2 linked regions of the Pelodiscus sinensis genome follow. The main gene of each other region encodes a partner of the protein of the gene in region 2 in a complex. Links are inferred from orthologs where the notes say so. Each region holds a gene or a part of one and is shown on either strand. Other genes may lie near its edges.

Evidence for each region.
Region 1: the proteins of ATP8B1 (region 2) and TMEM30B are in contact, whole or in part, in a cryo-EM structure (PDB 7VGH), measured with the Homo sapiens proteins. The link is inferred for Pelodiscus sinensis from reciprocal best matches to the Homo sapiens genes ATP8B1 and TMEM30B. Residues at the interface, in NP_001361314.1 of Homo sapiens: Trp362, Val366, Ser369, Ser370, Trp371, Tyr372, Leu373, Tyr374, Asp375, Gly376, Phe418, Trp421, Asp422, Leu423, Tyr426, Asp431, Pro433, His939, Trp942, Arg946, Tyr968, Phe971, Asn972, Gly973, Ser975, Ala976, Gln977, Leu1003, Gln1005, Phe1049; in NP_001017970.1 of Homo sapiens: Gly9, Ala10, His11, Gln12, Pro13, Asn15, Phe18, Thr19, Gln20, Gln21, Arg22, Leu23, Pro24, Ala25, Trp26, Gln27, Pro28, Leu30, Ser31, Ala32, Ala35, Leu38, Phe39, Phe46, Leu49, Leu53, Tyr109, Tyr111, Asn116, Phe117.

Annotation. Positions count from the first base shown.
Region 1 is NC_134722.1:38,425,614-38,436,780, forward strand, and holds TMEM30B (cell cycle control protein 50B), read right to left. Parts: upstream 5,660-11,167; 5' UTR 5,577-5,659; coding exon 4,527-5,576; 3' UTR 2,761-4,526; downstream 1-2,760. UniProt on the Homo sapiens protein: Accessory component of a P4-ATPase flippase complex which catalyzes the hydrolysis of ATP coupled to the transport of aminophospholipids from the outer to the inner leaflet of various membranes and ensures the maintenance of asymmetric distribution of phospholipids.
Region 2 is NC_134716.1:110,410,973-110,422,328, forward strand, and holds the start of ATP8B1 (phospholipid-transporting ATPase IC), read left to right. Parts: upstream 1-7,013; 5' UTR 7,014-7,509; intron 7,510-11,356. UniProt on the Homo sapiens protein: Catalytic component of a P4-ATPase flippase complex which catalyzes the hydrolysis of ATP coupled to the transport of phospholipids, in particular phosphatidylcholines (PC), from the outer to the inner leaflet of the plasma membrane.

The sequences.
Region 1 (11,167 bases), on a different chromosome or scaffold from region 2:
TGAGTTTAGATACCTTATTCCTCAAAACATAAAATAATCATATGTCTGATCCATCCACTTACCAACAGGTTTGATATTCTGAAAAGGGATAAACCAGCACCCCCTAAAATTGCTCTAGCGCATGAGTTGATAGGCAAGTACTACCAACAGTCTCACACAAGCCTGTGTTTAAATATTTTCTTTAACATACCCTCTGAGACAAAATTCAGAAAGCATTTTGTGAGCCATAATTAAGTCTCATAGCACTCCTCTGAGGTAGGAAAGGGACAGATCTAGATCATTTTACCCAACTACAGGCAGTCCCCAGGTTACGTACAAGATAGGGACTGTAGGTTTGTTCTTAAGTTGAATCTGTATGTAAGTCGGAACTGGCGTCCAGATTCAGCCGCTGCTGAAACTGACATAAGTCGGATCCGCGTAAGTCGGGGACTGCCTGTACTGAAATGCTACAGTGAAATGCAGTAATGGTTTAACAGTTCACAACATAGTATAGTAGTTAAGCACAGGAAGTAAAGAATGGTGAATATCAACCAAAATTCCAAGTAAAATGAATTATTCGAGTTGGCCTAGTGTAACTCTATCCAATAGTTAGAGCTTGCTAGAATTGCACATAGCTCAAACGTATCTTCCCAAATATATTCTAATGTTATATCTCAGACAGCAACTACCCTGATTCATGGCTGTTAGTATTGATGTTTTTTCCTTCTATTAACATCTGAATAATCTGCTCTGTAATAAAGAGCACATTTTTAGGATGAAGACACTTACTACATGATACTGCCATAGCTATTGTCATTTACTATGTAACTTTTATACTGGAAGATTAAAAAGTTGACATTTGATTAAGTAGGATATCTTACATAAATGGAAATATAGCTGTCCTGGCTAGTTTTCTGGAGAGGTGGTGAGAGAAGTCTTATTAGTCACTTCACAAAGCCAATGAAATGCTTCCCCAACTGTGGATTCTAACATGATCATTCAGCTATCCAATACGCCTCTTATATACTATCCTATAGTTTAGATCAGTTGAGTTTCAAAAATCCTGATTACCTTTCTTGCACTTACAAAGTAACTTTGGGCACAATTTTGCACTTGCAATTTCTCAATCTTAAGGGACAATCAGGCTCACCCAGACTCTCTCTTCCTGACTTATCAGTGTGGCTGGCTTAATAATTAAATATAAAAATTGACATTGCTACAGAAGAAGAGTCTTACTGGATTCTGAGATATATGTAAACTTTATTTAATTGTCCTTTTATTGTACGTCATGGTAACTATGAACTTTGAACAAAACCGTTCACCCACCACCCAATGAAACTGTCATAAAGATTCTTTACAAGTTCATTTGCTGCTGACTATTGTATAGAAGAAGTAATCTTGGTTTTCTTTTTTAAGTCATTGGGACCTTTACTGCCTTCAAGCAATCTATGAATAAAATTATAGACACTCTCCCCATAAACACCTTTTAGCTTAAATAAGTTTTGAAAGTGAATGGAGTTCTTACTAATGGGTATTCATTCACATTGTCAAACTGTTGACCATGACTTCACAGGGAAATGAGAAGTTTACCTGATTCATCTATTGGTTATAAAGATATCAAAATGGACTAGGAAAAGGAGAAAGGAGGGTCATTCCCAGTTCCTTTAGAAGGGTTCCATCAGGTGGCAATAGGAAAAAAAGTATGTTTTTACTCTCTCTGCAATTAAACTCCTGCGAAAGATATATAAATATAGGAGTAAAAACCACATGCACTGTGGTGAAGAAGTCTTCTATACAGATGAAACAAAATATGGACAATTAGTAACTACAGAAAACTTTGAAGAATAGCCTCTCATCAGTCAGTAAGGTTCTGATTCTCCTCTTGTTTATGTTGGTTATACCAGAGTAGAACTCTATGGATTTAGTTATGCACATCAGGGTAAAAAAAAAAAATCATGCCCCGAGTCTACAGTGAAGTCTTCTTTCATGTAATCCACATGCATAATCTAGTCACCATCTCTCAAGGCTATTTGCATAATTGGCCTGCACTTTGTGAATGTTTTTGGTAGACATGAACTACAACAGGTTTAGGTAGTTAACAGTTGGGTTTTTTTTCCCATAAAAAGAGCTACACTGCTGAAGTTGAGCTTGCCCTTTCCACTCCAAGAGGCCTTCCAGAAGATCCACATCCATTATTAAGCTTAAGAGATACTAGCAGAACTAGCAGCATTACCGGTTTGTGGGGCACGTAACCCATTTCACAATATGGAGAGCTAACATTCCTAGCAGTGAATATAAACTAATAATGAAGTTACATATATTTGCATTCTACAGTCTACTTCCCACATGGATCAGACTGCCGGGCAAATCTATATGTAAAAAAAATAGTTAGCAGGAATAATGTTAACAGCAGAAAGGGCAAGGTCTGTCCTAATTTACACCGATGCAACCTCAGTGTATTTGCATGGGTCTAACAGAGCAGAATTTGGTTCATATGCTCACTGTACACACTGCTATTATCTTTGTATGAAAACTTTTTCTTGCATTTGCAGCATTCCACAGACCCCAATTCCACTGTGAGCTTGGGGAAAAAGTTCATTTAATATGCAAGGCCATTTCTTAGACAATTACTTGTGTTCTTTTACTTCTTTGAAAATGCTTTGAGTTGAAGTAATTTGTTCAAGGTTTTACCTGACTTTTCAGGTCTCAGCTGACATATAGTTCACAGCACTGGTATAAAAGACACTGCTTCTAAAGTAGTAATAAGCCCACATTTATAAATCTGTTTCAAGAAACTTTTATGGAGTAAGATTCACCCAATTTGAAAAATTAAAAAGAGATCCCACACTTGCCCAAAAGACTTCAAAATATACATGGATGTGACAAGGGGAGCAGTTACATTGTGAATTAGACATCATCACATGCCACAGACATTCAGACATCTAATAAGAAATCATCTCATAAGCAACCACTATCAAGTGATGGTTCCCAAAGCTACCTACCATCACTAACTTGTCAACTCAACTTTTTAAGAGGTTAAAAAAAAAACCTTCACAGGAAACAAAATATAAACATTCAGGAAAATACATGTTTGAGGACTTAAGACTATTCTCCTTGCTTAGTCTTTCTAGGCACTGGAGTCGCTATTTTTGGACACAAACTAAGTAAGTTGGACGACTTGATTTTATTGCCATGTAAAGTGTTTCTAGTCTCAAGGTTATTTAATGACATTCTTAGCAATATCTGTTAGAAAAAGAACATATGGACAAGGCAAGATCTTCCCATCCTTTTAAAATAGAAGATAAATCTATAACAGAAAAAGGATCCTTTTCTCGATGAGTGAAGTTACGTGGACTGTATCAACATTAGTCAGCTGTGTCCAGAAGATGCTTATAAGTAAAGTCATTGTGTAGAAAGAAGCCTCTACTCTCTCTGCAGCTATCAGCATGAGCCCAAGTGAGAAGGAATGAGGGAAGAAAAATGGTTTTGGATCACAGTTACCACTTACATCTAGCATCTAACATGATAGTCTCTCGCTAAGGATTAACATCAACCTTTAAAGTTTATTGTTTTGGACAGTTTCAGGTCAATTTTTTTTCCATTTTAGTGAAGGACTAGTATATAATCCTCCTCTTCAAAGAAAAAAAGCATTCTTGAAATTAAAACAGTTGACAATTGGATTGTTAGCCATAAGCAGCTACCAGCTGCCAAATCAACCACCAGCAGAGTGATGCTTCTTTATGAAAGTGTTTTACACGTTGGGCTCAAGCAGCATGATAGAACTCATCATTGTGAACACTGTCTCTTATTGATCTTTGGTCTTGCTATGATATTACCAAATGTCCCTTTTACCAGTGTAAAGAAAAAGGCACAAATAACTTAGTCTCCAAAAATGGAATCTGTAAAAGTCTTGTTAGAACTAAACAGAAATAGTGTTAAATTCTAGTCAGATGCATATTTAGATTACCATGCATTAGGACAATGATTTGCTGTTGGATTGCAAACTCTGCAGTGCATTGTCTTTAAAATCTATCCATAGACAGAGACTAGTGAGCTTCACTTCCATTACTAAAAAAAAAGATTAGAAAAACAGAAGTTAATCCAGATAGAGGAAAATAGTGTAGAAAGTGAGACGGATTGAAAGTGAGACAGATTGAAATGATCCCAGTCTTCTAAAAAAGTAAAAAACAAAGTCTGAGGTGTAATTAGAAATATTGGTAATTGTGTATAGGCAAAAAGAAAATCTGACAGTGATTCTTTAGGTGCACAGATATATAGACAAAGTGAAGGGCTTATCACTCAGTTTAAAATAAGCTGTAGAATTTAAGCAGCGTTGAACTCTCCATTGTGGCAAGGAAACCAGGTTTTCATCCAGCCTACTACGGACACTGAAGGTCCAAGTTTCCTCTCACTTACACTAGTGGGAGTTGGCAGTAAACCCACTGAAATCAGACTGATACCACTGAAAAAGAAAGATAAGGCCCAGATGCTAGCAGCAAAGTTTGCATCTGGAGCTCAAAGTTTGGTGGCATTTGGACTCTGACTCTCTATTCCACATCCATCTGATTTTGTTTCTGGTACTTGATATGAACAGCCAGCATGACAAAGCCAGTGAGGATGCAGGCAGAGCCAAAGACCAGATAGACAATGCCCAGGAAGGGGTTCTTGCCACCCATCCAGGAAACAGTGCTGAAGATGACCTTCTTTGTGCCCTGGAAGGAGAGGACAGGGTAGTTGTAGGTGATGTTGAGGCAGTAGGTGCCTTGGGGCAGGCCAGAGGAGAAGTTGCCTTCATGCACACGGCGGTAGAGCTTGCGGAACGTGGGCAAGGCAGCAGTACGCATCCACACGATGAAGTCCTCGTTGATAAAACCGGTGTTGTTGGGGTTGTCTGGGTCCAGCTGGTAGGCAGCACGGGGCCAATTGGGGGGCTTGGTTGTGTTCTTGAAGGCATTCTCCAGGGTGCCATCGACCGGTTCTGGATTGCTGAACTTCACGTTGGAGTCGGTCCACCAGGAGATGCCCCTTTTGTCCAGGGGCACAGGGTAGAAGGAGCCATTGATAACGTGGTAGAGGGTGAAGGCGTCATTGAAGAGGCTGTTGGCAATGGCCCCGCAGGGGGCGATGGGGATGCCCTGCGGGTCAGTGCGGAAGGGGCTGCACTCCGTGGCTGGGTGTGTCAGCCCCCAGGCGTCCCCGCTGAGCTGCCGGTCGTCGCGGGAGACGCCGTAGCGCCGGTGGTTCTGGTAGAAGTTGGAGAGCTGGTAGTAGAGGCACACGGGCCCCGGGAAGCGCTCGGGCAGCTGGAAGAGCAGCAAGCAGGTGCAGCTCCCGGCGCTGGCGTTGGCGCAGCGGGAGCAGTTGTGGCCGCTGCCCGGCGCCCCGGTGTAGTCGAGCTCCAGCTCCCGGATGGTGGCGGAGGAGAAGTGCAGCCCCAGCCCCAGGGCCAGGCAGGCCAGCCCCACGCAGAAGAAGAGCGGCAGCGCCGTGCCCGCCGACAGCAGCGGCTGCCAGGCCGGGAGGCGCTGCTGCGTGAAGGCCGTGTTGTCCGGCTTGTTCTGGGCAGGCGGCCCGGCGCAGGGCTCAGCAGCCGCCATGGTCCCCGCGCAGCGCTGCAGCGCCCCGCCCAAGCGCGCGGACAGGTGAGCGGCGGTGCCGCGCAGCGCCAGGTAGAGCCCGCCCCCCTCCCCGGCAGGGCCACATGCCGCCTGGGGCGCGCTCGGCTCCATGGCACCGCCCCGGCAGAGCCACCCCTGCTCCTCGACCGGGCAGGGTCCTGCACAGCAGCCTCCCCAGGAGCTGAAATTAGGGGAGGTGTTCCAATTTACAAGGGGGTGTCAGGGCTGAGGGGTGAAACTGGCAGGGTGACGGTGGCTGTAGGGCACCATAGTTCACAAAATTGGGGGGGGGTTACACTCCCATGGGGGGAGGGTGTAGGGAAATCCCTGGTCCCGCATGGCGCAGGAGAGAGCTCCGTTCTTTGACAGCGGCCCTCTGGGCAGGGTCCCATACAGCCGGGACCATCCATCGGGCAGAGCTCTCTTGGCATAGTCCCCATTCCCATGCAGACCTAGGCTCTTCGACAGCCCCCTGGGCAGGGCCTCCAGAGCAAGCAGCGCAGGGACAGCTCAGTTCTCTGGAATAGCCTCTGCCCCCAAGATCTAGACAGTTGGGAGTCCAGGGGGGAGCTCACCCGATCTGTAACACTCTCCAGGGAGTAGACCATGCAATCCAGCTCTCAAGCACACATACACGCCCAAGCAGAACATGAGATATACACCCCAGCTCCGCCAAGCCAGTCATCTTTACACAAAAAACAGAAGTTTCACAACCTCAGCCCAGCCCTCCTGACCATCCCTGCATATGCACATCTACAGATCATCTACCGACATGCAGACTCCTGCAGGATACCTACAAACACAAATGCATAGATCCCATCCTTATGCAATATCTACACATAGCCAGCAAAGCATCTACACAAAAAGTACATAGCATAGCCTAAATGGAGAATCTACACACAGGCAAACCAATCTAGCACAATATAAACACATGCATATACACCTAGCATGTATCTGGTCAGCTTAACATAGTATTTACACCAGCTTTTTTAAGCGCAAGATCACTTTTTGAATTTAAGTGCCATCCAGGATCTACCTCAAACCTTAATACCCTTGCCCCATTTCCCTTTCTGCCCCTTCTCCAAGGCCCCACCCTGCTGACTCCATCTTGCCCCTCCCCTCCCACCCTCATTCACTTTCACTAGGATGGAGCAGGAGGTTGAGGTGCAAAGGGATGTGCAGTTTGTGTGGGAGGGGCTCCAGACTGAGCCTGGGGTAGGGGTGCAGAAGGGGATTCAGAGTGCAGGCTATGGAAGAGAGCTTGGGTGCAGGAGAGGTTCAGGGCTGAGGCAGGGATTAAGGATGTGGGCTGCAGCTGGACAATGCTTATGTTGGGCAGCACCCAGGCAGTGTAGCAGAGGGGCTAAAGCAGACCCACTTCCACCCTGGCCCCGCATCATTGCTGAAGGAATCTAGTATGTCTAGTAATGGTTCCTGAGAGGGAGGGGCAGGTGGCACCCCCTTCAGCAGGCCCAACCCCCCCCACATCCCATTGGTCATTGTTCCCCATTCCCAGCTAATGGGAGCTGCAGAGGAAATGCCTGCAGGCAAGGGCAGTGTGTGGAGACTCCCTCCCCTTCCCCAGGGGCCATAAGGACGGGCCAGCCACTTCTAGGAGTGCAGGGCCAGGGCAGGAGGCTGCTTCCTATTGTTATGGCTGCACTGTTAGTGGCTGATCTCCTGATTTGGCTGCAAGAGCCTCCAGGAGATTAAGCCCTATTCTGGGAAACTAGTGCTGTAATTTTCTCCAAAATCTCTCCTCTGGCCCATCCCTTCTCCAAGGCTCCACCCTGCTCACTCCTTCCTCCCGCCTTCCCCCATCCTCACTCACTTTCACCAGGCTAGGACAAGGGTTTGGTTCTGGTCTTGGGCTGAGGAGTTCAGAGTGTGGGAGGGAAAAAATTAGAGGGAATGAATTTTGTTATGTGCACCAATATTGAGGTGATGTGCAGCACTGTTGAAATTAAAATCCTAATAATTGATAATATTTTTTAAATTATCATGAGGATAATTAGTCCAGCCAGGACAGGTAGCTTTTTTTAGATTCACTACTCAAATAATTAATTTAAGCATCAGAGAGAAATAAAAATTATAAAATGCACAGACCAGTCAAAAACCTGAAATAAGACATTTTGAAACAAGTAAAAGAAGTAAAAACAACTCAAGGATGTGTTGGGCAGGGAGGTGAGTGTTAAGGACAGAGTGTGTTTGTGTGAGTGTTAGACACAGCATGGTGAGATTTATAGATTTGCATTACTCTTGTAAGTTTGCTGAGCATGTTCAGTCATGGCTTCCCCCTCTGCTGAGGCCCCACCCCTCACAGGGAGGAGATGGGGCAGCATGCTGAGCGTACCCCCCCCCCCCCCGGGGGGAGGGGAAGAGAAGGAAGGGGGCAAGCAGGTGTGTGGCCCCCAGCTTCCCTAAAGCACCAGTGGAGGGAGGAGGGTGCACGGTGCATCTCCTGCCTCCTTGGAGCACCAAGAGATGGAGGAGGGTGCTTGATGCAGCCCCAGCATCAGGGAGGCAGGAGGCCGCGTGGCTCCAGCCTCCCCGGCCAGGAGTATTGGCAGGGCAGGCACTGGGGGCGGAGTGTGAGGAGAGCCATGCCTGGCAGTTTGGGAAGGCAAAGTCTTCCCCTGCCTAGGCTACTGGACGCTTGTGTAGATTAGGGTTGCCAGATGATTTAACCAAAAATACCGAACACTCACCCACCCCCAAAAAATACACCGGGGGAAAAATTCTGTTGAGAAAAAAAAAGGGGGGGGGGGAGACCAAAATTATTAAGCAAAGAAAAATTAAAAATTAAACACATTAAAAACCCCAGCATGGCCCCTTTAAGAAATGCCTGAAACACAACCATCTGCCATCTTGTGTTCCTGCTCCGGGCCAGACAGCTCCCCTGCGGACCCAGGTAAGCACCCAGGATTTTCACCTCCTGGCCGGGGAAAAATCAGAAAATACCAGACATTTTAAGTGTCCAGTATTTTCTGATTTTTTTTACCAGACAGGGGGCAAAAATACCAGTGTCTGAGTGAATACTGGACACCTGGCAGCCCTAAGAGATGAAGTACAGGCATGGGAGCAGGGGACACCTTGACATCTGTGCTCCCCTCCTCTGCCTTCCCCACCCTACACAGCAAGCAGGTGGCTCCTGGGGGTCAGCTCCAAGGGAGAGGGCAGGAGAAGCACAACGTGGGGAGAGAGACAACTGAAGAGCCAGCACTTGATAGCCTCCCATCCAGACTAGTCCAAGATCTGTACACACAACATAGGACAGCTTGTTTCCTTAAGACTTAGGTCATTCAAACTCAAATATTGAGTTTCCAGGAGTAGCCTAATACAAGGCTCAAAAAAGCTGTTTTTCAGGTTTAGGCACTATTTTCTGAGAATGCACTGCTCCTATTGCAAACAGCTAAGGGGAACTCCACAAATAGCTAACTAAGGCAACCTGATAGAATCACAATTTCAGTATTTTAACACCTTAATAACTAACAATGTCAAGGGCATTTTCTACTTTTTGTTAATCAGAAATATTAAATGATATATCTATAATTACCAAATTCAGCTAGGAAAATATGAGAAAAATAGCTAATTTTTTTTACTGGGGGAGCTTTTTTTACAGTGATGTTATTGTATACAAAACTGTATACAATCCCCCCATACTCTTCTGTAGACTAAATAAACCCAAACCCCTCAGCCTCTCCTCATAAGTCATGTGCTCCAGCCCCCTAATCATTTTTGTTACCTTGGCTGGACTTTCTCCAGTGTGTGCACATTCTTTCTGTAATTGGGAACCAGAATTGGATGCAATACTCCAGATGTGGCCTCACCAGTGCCGAATAAAGGGGAATAATCACTTCTTTAGATTTGCTGGCAATGCTCCTCCTAATGCACCTCAATATCCTGTTAGCTTTCTTGGCTACAGGGACACACTGTTGACTCATATCCAGCATCACGTCCACTGTAATCTTCTGGTCTTTTTCTGCCTAATTGCTGCTTAGCCAGTCAATCCCCAGCCTGTAACAATGCTTGGGATTCTTCCATCCTGAGTACAGGACTCTGCACTTTTCCTTGTTGAACCTCATCAGATTTCTTTTGGTGCAATGTCCAATTTGCCTAGGTCACTCTGGACCCTATCCCTAACCTCCAGCATATCTACCTCTCCCCCTAACTTAATGTCATCTGTGAAGTTGCTGAGGGTGCAAACCATCCCCTCATCCAGGTCATTAATAAAGATAAACTTAAAAAACAACAAATGGTCTTTGTAGACGGTATCATGAGCTTTTGTGAGCACAACCCACTCCATGAATGCTCATGATCCCATCTACATGTTTTGTTAGTCTATAAAGTGCTACCAGACCATTTGTTGTTTAAGTTTATCCTGTACAGCAGTGTTTCTTAAACTTAGTTCCGCGGCACACTGGTATGCCACAGGGCAGTCTGAGGTGTGCCACGGCAAACAACAGAGTTTAAAATGGCTGCCCTTAAAAGGGCAGGCAACCTTTTTTTTCTCAATAACTTCCCCTCGACCCGTTTTTTCCCGCCGACTTTTTGTTGTTGTTGTTCAACAAAAAAATCCATCGTGTTCCTCATAAAAAAAATTATTGTTTGGTGTTCCTCAGTCTTAAAAAGTTTAAAAAACACTGCTGTACAGACTAACTCAGCTACCCCCTGAAGCTTCATTAATAAAGATACTGAACAAAACCAGACCCAGCACCAACCCTTAGAGCACTCCACCTGATACTGACTGCCACCCAGACATCAGCTGTTGATCACTACCCATTGAGCCAGACAATCTAGCTAGCTTTCTATCTATAACACAGTCCTCCCACAAGTTGTATCAGCTCTGGCTGAGCCATTTAAAAATAACAAAGGAGGCTCATAATGAAGCCCATTTAGCTCTACTCTTTGAACAGTGTGGAAAAACGGGTTGAACCAGCCTTTCACCAGATGCTTGCGGGTATGCATGCTGGTTGGGACTCTTGTCCCCACCCCTATACTGCACTTGATTGTGACACAGCATTTGCAAAGATGGCAGCTCTAGTAAAGACAGCTTTCTAACACCAGCAGCTTTTTTCAGCACTATATTATTAATGCTACTGTATTATTAATACCAGCACTGTAGTATTAATGCTACATTAAGCCTGTGTTTCTACAGGCAGATTTTTTTTTAAAGTTCCCTGCTGTAGACAGAGTTTCAGAGAAGAAACAGAACAGACACACACCTGACATCCTCGCTAAATTACTTCTGACATGGTCCTTCCCATTTGCTCTTATGGTTCCCTTGCTGTTTTCTTTTTTTCAGTAATAAAAAAGACACATATCCTTTGCCAAGAAACACTAATTCAGTCATGAGAGTGACTGTTATATTTCTGAAATTCAGATGATCCCTTTCAGAACAAAACCAAATTAGGGCACTGACTGTCAAATAAAAAAAAACAATTTAAAACATCTCCCAAACAACTTCACTGTAAAAAGAATCATAGAACCATAGAGCTGGAAGAGACCTCAAAAGGTCATCAAGTCCAGCCCCCTGCTTTAGGCAGGACCAATCCCAACTAAATCAACCC
Region 2 (11,356 bases):
TGTGCTACCAACAGCTGCTCCCCCTGCCTTTGTGACAGCAATGGCCACACTCACTAGAGGGCGGAAGCCTTGCTCTAAGGAATGCGTGAGTGGGGTGGGGTTAAAGGGGTGTTGGGTGTGGTGTGGTCACAGGACAAGAGGATGTTGGCATGGGCTGTAGGGGTCAGAGGTTAAAGAGTCAAAGGGGACAGGCTGTAGGGGTGGGGAATCAAAGGGTATTAGCACTAGAGAGCAAGGGGCTGGATTGGGGCTAGGCAGACAAGTAACATTTTATCTGCATATTTGTATATTGATGATGTGAATAATGAATACGCAAATAAAATGTTAGCAGTCTGCCAAAAGTTTGTGAACAGGTTTGCTGGTCTGTGGTATAGAAAAGGTTGGGAACAACTGATTTAGAAGATCTGAATTCATTCTCTGCAGAATCTGCATAGCAAGCTTCTGAGGGATGGCACGACATGGCAGGCAGGAGCCACAGAGGTTATGCAAAGAATGCTTCAGGAGCTGGAGAGTGGCAGGTAAGCAGGCAGTGATGAAATCAGGTCTGTGCACAACTTACAGGAAGCAGCAGAGGCCAGATTCATAGAGTTTAAGATCAGAAGGGATGGTTGTTATTATTTAGCCTGATCTCCTGCCACAGAACCTCATGTATTCCTGTACTAGATTCCTAAACCTTTGGCAAAGTGACTCAAGTCCTCAAATAATTATTTAAAGACTTAAAGTTATAGAGAATCCACAATTTACACTTGTTCAAACCTGGAAGCCACCTGTGTCCCATTGCAGAGGAAGACAGACAAAACAATAAACAATGCTCTCCCCAAAACCCTAAGGTCTTTGCCAATCTGACCTGGGGGAAAAGTCCTTCTCAACCCCAACTATGGGGATCAGTTTGACCCCAAGAATGATGCCAAGATCCAACAGCCGGACACTTGGGAAAGAATTCTCTGTAGTAATTCAGTCCTCCCCGTCTAGTGTCTGATTGCTGGCCATTGGCGTTCTTTGCTGCTACCCGTTGCAGACTGGCTACACGCTACTATAGGCAGTCTCATCATAATAGCTGCTCCATAAACTTATCAACCTCAGTCCTGAAGCCAATTAAGCTTTTTGCCCCTGCTGCCCTGCTTGGAAGTCTGTTCCAGAATTTCACTCCACTGAGGCTTAGAAAACTTCATCTAATTTCAAGCCTATATTTGTTGGTCAGTTTATATCCATTTGTTCTTGTGTCCATATTGGCACTTAAGTTAAATAACTTCTCTACCTCTCTGATATTTATACCTCTGATGTGTTCATAAAGAACAATCATATCTCTTGAGTGGGCCTTCACCTCCTTGGTTAAGCCAAACAAACCATGCTCTTTGAGTCTCCTCTAATAACCTAGGTTTTCTATTCGTAAGATCATCCTAGTAGCCCTTCTCCACACCTGTTCCCATTTGAATTCATCTTTCTTGAACTCAGAAGATCAGATTTGCACATTGTACCTAGAGTATTTGCAAACTTTCAATTTCCTGCCAGTCCTGGGAAAATATCCCTTCCCTTTAGACATGTACCTAAGTGCATATTGGGAAAAGCCATTGAAGGATGGCTATTAACCTTTATTAAGAGGTATCCCTATCTGTAACAGTTCATATGCCACAGAAAGCAGCAGGTCCAAATCCTATTAAATGATTAGGTAATTGGGAGAAATATTTGGAAAGCAGAAGTGCAGCACCTGCTCAACTAATTAAGATGAAACATTCTCAGGAGTTTAAGCAAACAATTTCATGTCTGTGAAAGCCATTTTCTTTGGTTTTAGTTAATATTGTTTTTATTAAGATTAATATTAATTTCTTGCAGCTGTTCCCAAAAATAAGAGAAACTCATAACTTGTAAGGAGAAGTGCTGAAGATTCAAATTATGGCCATCATTTGATGGGTCAGTCACAGCCTGTAAGCTATGTGGTTCAAGTAGAGTAGAGAAAAATATAAATGCAGAGATAGGTAGGCTAATATAGCCTGTCTATTTCTTATACCAAGCCAAAATATAGTGATTAGGCTAAGGAAGCTCTCTCAAAAATGGAATAACTCCTATTATGTTTCTTCATGTTCATTTTGGCATTAATGATTATTGTAATAAAGGTGTAACACAGGACTGCTGATCAGACTGTTTTTGTCTAGCATTTATTTTCTGGCATAGACCAGGATTAAAAGTGCCTAATATCCTTCCTTGTTAGATGATGTGGGTCAGAACATATCCATGACTAACTCAAATGGCTCTAATGACTGTTAGAATCAGTACTCCATTTGCCCATTTTTTAAATGCATGGGGAATGGTATATTTTTCACTTATTTTTACTTCTTTAACTACTTGCTGGTTGGAAAATGAGAGTTTTCTTATTAATACAATTTTCTACTGCATAAAAATAGCCCACCACTGCTATTCAGAGCAGAACCGTTTATCTTTAATAGCACAACCAAATCTTTTATTGGCACAGATAACAGTCCAGCTAATAGTAATATTTGCTCTCATGTGGCATTAAAACCTACGAAGCAATTTGCAAACATTAGGTAGTACAGCTTCACAGCATCCCTAAGAGATAAGTATGGTTACAAATTGATAAAGCAAGTCAGAGATTGTAAGGCTCTGAGTTATAAACTAGTGAGGAAAGCTACTTCAGTATCAAACTGTGCAGTGAATACAAAACTACCTGGCTCCACAGTTACTGTAATTGTGTGTGCAAATAGAGTAACCATTTGCAAAATATAATTCAGAAATGGCTTTTGTGCGTGTATATGTATTTGCACACATACACTGTCTCTTCATACCCATATGCAGATTCATAGCCACACAGCTGGTCAGTTTCTAATGATGGAGAGAAACGAAGTAATGCAGTCAGGAACACTGTAATTTTTTTTATATAAAGGATGTGCATATAACCTGTTAAATCGAGCGAGACCAAATTGCTCACAGCCAATTCCAGAAAGCTTCACTACTGACATTCACCAGAAACAACTGACTCTATTCTTCACTATCTGTCCTTCCAGGTCTCAAACTCTCTCTCAGCAGACATACAACTTTTCCCTCCTCACTGACATATTTCCCTCATTGAGGAAATTGAAAAGCAGTAGAACATCACCACACTGCCCTTTGCTCACATATTATTGTTCAGCTACTAGTTCATTACCACATTGATCACCTCATTATAAAAGGGAGAAACTGAAAGTCACAAATTTTAACACAGATAAAGGGATTTTTTTAAAAAAAATTAACATAATTAACGTGTGGATCTTATTGCCACAAACCATCATTGGGGCCAAAAGTTTCAGATAATTAGGATTTGGATTAGCTGTTTTGATGGATAAAGACAACTGAGAACATCCATAGTTACATTGTATAGGCTACATACATATTAGAAACACCAGGCATAACCCAAACACAGACAGAAAGGGGTTAGGAAACTTCCCCCTAAGTTTTTCCTTAATTGTCTGCTATGGATTTTCTAGCACCTTCTTCTGAAACATCCTTAACTGATTGGGTTCAGTTGATTGATTATTGGGTTCAGTTAAACAAAACACATTTATTCATTCACTTGGCATTACTTCTCCAAATGTCTTCTTTATTATTTATGTATTTATTTTGGTAGCAACCACTGTATGCTAGGTTCTTTCCAAATACTTCTATGCCTTGTTTTTAACTTTATTTTATCACTTACTACTCCTCATCCCTTTTATCCTACTATATTTTCTACTCTCAACATTCTGTCTCCTCATCATCATCATCTTGTTTCTATTTCTGCACTCATTTTCATTTTCACAAATTTCTACGTTCCATCATATCATTTTCTGAATTTTCTTCTATCTTTCTGATGACAGTTCCATGCCATGTCCTCTGATCACTGGAAATGGTTACAGAAAACATGGGATTGTGGAATAAAATCCAGACTCTAGCAACTGATGAATCTCTAGCAATGGAAACAGCATAATGTTTCATAAGGAAGTTAAGCAAATTTTGTTGAAATGAGTATGAATAAATTTGGTAACAAAAATAATTGCTAGTGCACTGAGTCATCAGAAACCACTGCAAACAAGATACCAGATGACTTATCAAAACTTAGTGTCAGCAAATACTTTGACATGTTGGGGGGAAAACAATAGTGCTATAAGTACCTATCATGTAAATGGTGGACTAGAAGTGTGAGTGGGATTATCTATTTACAGTAAAGGTTTAATATTTATTTTATCATTGTGGCCTTTGTGTAGTTTTGATCTTGTTTTTACTTCAGCGTAAGAAGATCTTGTAAACACCTTGGAGCAGAAACTGTATTTGTTTCTATACCGTATTGAACATACTGTTGGCACTTAAATAATTACATGATAATTATAGTTAACACATTCTCATTATCCTATCTGTTATGTATCTTAGGTAGCATGTAAAACAGGAGTGGGAAGCCTAAGGCCCAGGGGCCGGATGCGGCTCACCTGGATCTGGACCCCGGGGCTCAGCGCTCTTCCCCAGCAGTGGGGAGTCTGTGTTTGGTGTTCTAGGACCCTCCCCCCCCCCCCCCCCGCCAACTCCCTGTGGAGCTGGAGCACATGAGGTTCCAGTGTGCGAGGGGAATGTGGGAAGTATCTTTCTCCTTCTCAGTCAGGGGCCACATCAGTGAGGTTGTGGGGTTTTTTTTCAGGTTGTTGGTTTTTTGCCTTCTCACTTGTGTGCAGCCTCTGACTAATTTTTCTGTGGATCAATGGTCCCCTGAACCAAAAAAGGTTCCGCTACCCCCAATGTAAAATGTACACTTCCCATCATTGTATGTGTTTGTATTAATGTGGATTTAGTACAGCACTTATATTAGAGAGCACTTATTGAGTGCCTCTATTATTCTTAAAGTCTAAATAAGAAGTTTGTTGGTAAGGGGCTCTTACCTGAGTATTTCCTGGAAGAACGGCAAGGTAGGTGAGGTAATCTCTTTCACTGACTCAGTATATGCTGGTGAAAGAGAGAAGCTTTTACCTACAGAGACCTCTTCTTTAGGCCACCTTGGAAGCATGTGTAACATTATTTCCGGACATGCTGACCTGCAGATTAAACAATATGAAAGTGCCTTAGGCTGTCAAATTTAGGGTCAGGGACATCACTAGCTGGGTTCTCAAAAGGATTTAGTACCCAAGACCTCCCACTGAATTCTTATGAAAGTCTTTTGCTATAAATTTACTCTCGGTACTTTTTGTCTGTTTCATTTAAGGAATCTGCATTCTCTTTTCAAAATGTTTTATGTTTAACTTCAGAATTCATCCAAAACAAAGAATACCTGAAAACAGAGCAAGAAAGAGTTGCAAGTGAATAAACAAACTATTCACAACACACTCGCAGAATTGCCAACCCCCAGAGTAATGCCAGTACAAAACAATTGGCACCCCAATTGTCCAAAAACCGTAAGTCAGACCCCTCCAATTGTCTTAAACATAACATATTGGAGACTCTTTTTTTTGCAGATTGAGTCTTTAAGGTACCTATAGTTTATTTACAAACTTTCTTCACAACTACAAAAACTAGAAACTTTTTTGTAATGAAATCTAAATCCCATATAATTACAAGAAAAACACCAAATATGGCAAGGTTCACAATAAAATAATTCACAGCACTATATTCAGGATCTAACTGAACACAATTGAGCTCCATCTCGGTTGCAAAAGACATTTTGTTTCAGCCTTTAAGATCTCCAAAATTTGTTATAAGTGGGTTAAACTGTTTATTAGCCCAATAAAGGCTTTCAAAATGAAAACAACAAAAAAAATTAAAATGTGTGTCTTTTTTTCTTTTAGCTTCTTTGATGGAGGACTCTAGTGAGATTGTGACATCATCAAAAGCAACGAGGAAGTGCCATCTAACTAATTGTGAAAGGAAGTGAATTTTAAACAGGTTATTTAAAAATGGAGTACAGTTTTGATAGTTATTTAATATCTATCAGATATGTGAAGTATTTATATGGTTCCTATCACAGCAATCTTTGAGCAGCTAAACATCTTTAATCACAACATACCTTTTAATGTAGCTGAAACAAAATACAGGACTATGTAGCACTTTAAAGACTAACAAGATGGTTATTAGGTGATGAGCTTTCATGGGCCAGACCCACTTCCTCAGATCAAATAGTGGAAAAAATATGGTTGTGACAATTTTCTTCCACTATTTGATCTGAGGAAGTGAGTCTGGCCCACGAAAGCTCATCACCTAATAAACCATCTTGTTAGTCTTTAAAGTGCTACATAGTCCTGTATTTTGTTTCAGCTACAACAGACTAACACCGCTACATTTCTATCACTTTTAATGTAGGGAAGTCTTTCAGGAAAAAAAAAGTAAGGAAGACCAGGTTTGATATTTCTAAGGGGAAAAAACCAGGTAAGTAAAATATTTTGAAAAAATAATTCCAGAGCTATTGAAACCATTATAGAAAAGCAAAATACCCACAATTCTTTCTGTTTCTTCTTTGCATGCCCCTTTAACATTCAAATTTCTGATACCAGGACACAACCGAGTTGTATTTTTGGCTCAGCCAACACTCTGCTTTTTGCCAAAACCATTTTCAAGAAGGGTGCTTTTGAAGAGAAAGATTACAATTTTCAGGCTGTACAGGATTGGGGCTAATATCAAACGGATGTAGCTCTTCACACGTTTCACTGGATCTGAAACCTGAAGGACCTTTAAAAAAAAAAAAGCCTAAAACAAAACAACCCCTCGCTTCTTTCCCCGCAGATAATTAGATGCAAATGTAAAAAACCAAACCAAAACAAAACCTTGGGAAAGAGAGAGCCCGGGGTTTAGTTCCCCTTCTTTCAAAGAGAAACAAAAACCAGGCAGCTCCCACCTACAAGAAAGTCCCGAATGAGGTAACTGAGACAGGTGGAGGGAGTGGGGTACACAAAGATGAGTAAATGCCTCGGATGATTCTGGCGCTGTCCGGATTTCTAACCAAGCAGGGCTCAAGGCCAGGCTGAGCGCGGCTGAGAACCTTGAGGCACAGACAATAAGGTGGGCCCAGGAGGAGCGGGCATGGCTCTACCTAGCTGCTAGCGCCGCTCTCCAGGGGGAGCGCTCCCAGCGTGTAACCCGAGCGCAGGCCGCTCCCCTGGCTACGGGGCTGGGGAAAGGGGGATGTCTCCTGCCCCGGTGGCCGCTGTTAGTACCTGGGAGTCACGTGGGCTGTCCCCGGGCTAGGGGAAGGGCTTAGTGAGGGCAGCTGCGGCAGAGGTGGGTTCCCCCTCCACCCCGCCAAGGGAGGATGAGTCCCAAGGAGTAAGCCACCCCCGCCACACACCTTCAGCCGGCGCTCACCTTCCTGCGCGCGGCCAGGCACCTTGTGCAGAGTTGAGGAACTCGTTTGGCCGGTGCTGAGCCCGCTTGCCAAGCGAGGCGGGGAGCCGCGCGCCATTGGAGGGCTGGGGAGAGCAGCTGGCGTGCAGCAAGCGGGGCGAGCGTGCAAGGTGTAGGGCGGGAAGCTGCCCCGAGCGGCCGGGGCCCGAGTTCCAGCGAGAGGTGAGGGGGCTGCGGAGGCGGGGCGCTGCGCGTCTCGCACCGGGGCTGGAGGGGGTGTGGGTAGCTTGGGGGGCAGGCGCGGCGGCTCGCCAGGCGGGGTGCGGGGCGTGAGGACCGAGCCCCCGGGGGAGAGGGGAAGGCGGTTCTCCCCGAGCCCACAGCAGCTGTGCGCTCCGGAGCACGCTCCGCCTGAGCACCTGGCCCTGCTCCTGCCGCCCCAGAGCTCCACCCCGGGCGAGTGGCTCTAACTTTCCTAGAGCTCCTGCGGGGTTCGCTTCCTAGGTGCTGCAGCACCTCCCTGGATTGGAGCGATTCCCAGGCGGGGTCACTGTTTGGTTCCAGGGCTCTCCGCATCCCTGGCTGCCTTCCCCGAGTGCTGTTCCCGTTGGCTTGCCCGGACCTGAGACAGCCAAGGCAGGAGTGCCAGGGAAAGGCTGGAGGCTCCCAGGCCAAGCGGTGGCTCTGCTTGATTCCCTAACTGAACTTTAGAGCCGCGCAGCCCACCGCGAGAGAAAAGCCAAACTGGTTCTGGTAGCTCTTTGACAGGAATCCAAACAGGTCCCAGCCAGATTCAAGGTGCAAGGGCTGTCCCCCTTCAGCGTTTATCTCTCTCTCCAGACATGTGCGCTAGTTATCTACATCTCCCAGATTTCTGTAACTAAGGTACAGAGGATGTCTGGAGGCCATTCATAAACTAAACTAGATATTTAACGTTACATAATAGTTAACTAACCTAAAAGGGTGTTACAGGGAAGAGGGAGAAAAATTGTTTTCCTTGACGGCTGATGATAGGATAAGAAGCAATGGGCTTAAACTGCAGCAAGGGAGCAAGGTTGGATACCAGGAAAAACTTCTTAACTGTCAGGATGGTTAAACGCTGGAATAAATTGCCTAGGGAGGTTGTGGAATCTTCTTCACTGGAGATATTTAAGAGCAAGTTAGATCTGTAGCTATCAGGGATGATATAGACCCTTTTTGGTGCTGCTGTGAGGGCAGGGGACTGGACTTGAAGACTTACAATTCTAGTATTCTATTGACTTACTCTCAAGATCACTTACATTTCTAGTATTCTATTATTGTATTGTATTAATAGAGCTTGTATAGTGTAATGCCAAAATATCTATTTTTTCCCTGGGTGTAATTCACTAATCTCCTCCAGTGCGCGCACAGACCTGCGTGATTGGGTAAATGACCAGTACACCTGCCAGTTCTGATTCATTTTCAGAATGATCACATTTTAAAGTAAACATTAACTCAATGGAGAAGCGCACTGCATTGATATGTTGCCTAAGTGGAGGAGGAAATGAAATAAAAAAAAAAAAAGCAAAACTGGTGTTTGTTTTCAAATGTCTTTTCAATCCCGTCTGCCTGCACAATAGAGAAATGAACGTCATTCTCCTCCCTGTACTGGGTGGACAAAGGCAAATTATGATGCAACTGCTTTGACTCCAGAATTTGTTGTTTGTATGTAACTGTATATGCTCCATTACATTTTATTTTATTTTTTTAAAGACTCTCTACTTCTTGAGCTCATTGTAATAACTTTTCATTTTCTTTTAATATGAAAAGGATTGCCTGATTCCATTGTGACTGCAGCAATTTTGATCTGCACAACTTTATATAAAGCACAACAACATAACAAAGGAAGAAAATGCTACAGGATATTAATTCCTATGTCGACTAAGCGATTGTTTTCTTCCTTTTTATTCACTTAAGGAAATGAGAAATCCCGGAGTGACGATGTTTAATATTTTGACCAAATGTAAAGGTTATATAAAGGCTTACACATTATATGAATTTCAGGCTAAGCCAGCGATGAGAAGCCTAGACTAGTGAATGGGCAGCATATTGTTGTAACTAAGATGGTCTCCTGGGATAGGGTAGTTTGCTAACTGCGCTTGTATTCCTAGAATTTGCAGGATGTTCCAGTTAAACCATAGCAGCACTTTGACTGGATGTAGAGGAAGCTCACAGTCAATGTTGTATGCAGTTAGCCCATGTGTCTTTGGTTTATGTGCATGTCACTTCAGTAATACAAGTAAGGAAAAAACCTACCCAGCCAGCGGGATCTGGCAACTCTGTGCATAGGTAACGGTAAACATAAGGTCTCACAGGCCACACACAGAACCTGAGGGACCACAGGTAGCCCTGAGGTGGCAGGTTGCCCACCACTGGGCTAAGTCATATTCTCTAATAAAATAACTATATTACATTATCAAATAATTAGTTTCACAGGAGGGGAGTCATTTTTTTAATTGAATCTCTTAGTAGGGTTCATGTAACTTTTCTGTGGGTCACAAGTGTAGTGTATTTCACTTACGTACAAACAGTTTTTATTAGTGGTATTTTAAGTGTCAACAGTGTAATTTTGTGCTGTACAGCCATAGGCAGATAGTCCCTACCTAGAAGACTTTACAATACAGTGAATGTAGAAATGGAAGTTCAAACTCTAATGATAATAGCAGCTCTTCACTATATTTTAGGGAGTGTTTAATAAATGATTGGTGCATCCTACTTGTGATGGTGGGGCGATCTGAAGAAAACATTGACTGCTGTGAATTCTGATGAAAATGGTAGTAAATATATTGCAGGAGTGAGTCAGTTCTACACAGTCTTCTAAAGAAGTGAAGCTGGTATTTATTAAGGAACATTTATAATCATATAATAAAACTTGTGTAAGAATATCATCCATTAGGTTTGTCACTATCTGGAACTCCTAATGTAAAAGTGGAGCAAAGACATTTAGTCGTAATTTTTCTGGATTTTTGGTTAATTGTTTTTGTGATTCAGATTTCTTACTACATGGCTGTTACTTAGTAAGATTTAAAATGTCCTCAAAACGCTAGCTTTTTTTCTCTAAAAGTATTGCTTAATCGAACTAGTTAGTTATCGAAACAATATCCTAACTTTTTATTTTGAATATGCTCTGATGCTAGTGTTAAAAGGACTGTGTAAGTAGTTTCATAGATATAGTACCAGGAACTTCTGAATATTGGAGGCTCTCAGATTTGTGATCACCATCTGCTGACTGGGCAATGTATTTACAGCAAAGTGTAAGGGAAAAGTGAGCCAAGTACAAACCAAGTGGACTATTAGCTAACAAGATTCTGACATATATCCTGCACATGTTCTTATTAGATTTCCAGGCTTTAACTTTTTTGAGGTGAGGTTATGAGTGTCAAATTGTGTAGTGTCAAATCATGATTGGTAGTCAGTTTATTTTAAAATCGTAACTCAAGCTCGTGGTGAACATGATGGTTTGGTCATTTGTTCTCTGTTTATCTCCGTCTCTGCAGTTTCCAAATGTGAATTTTCTTGGCAATAAAAGATTGAGCACTTTGGTGGTGTCAGAGTAACGTATACCTCATACTCACAGATGTATGTCTCAACTCCTTCAACTTCCCCCCCCCCCTTTTGTTTTTTAACTGAGCTAAACATGCATGTGGCCTTAATTTCAGTAACTTGAACTATTCTCTTGGCTTGTTCTCCCTTATGAGAATTCTTGTGTGTATTCTGGTCCCTAGTCTTGCAATTTGCAATACTAAATTGGATGAGCCACTTGCCTGCTTCATGTCTTTGCCTTCTATTCAAATTAGCCTACACTCATTTGCTATTTTTTTTACTGTAGTTATGCAGCCTTTATTTTGACAGTATGTTAGTTGTGTTAGTCCTGATTGTGCAGTCTGCTATAGGTTTAAATTCTTCTTTTGGAATCGTAAGAGTTCCGGTCTGTATCCTTGGCTGTTTTTCTTTAACCAGCATCTGCTAAATGGGACAGTCTGATCCTAATTATTTGAGCAAAATACTGAGAGCCAGAAACTCTTCAATGCTAATCTCATCTCTGCCT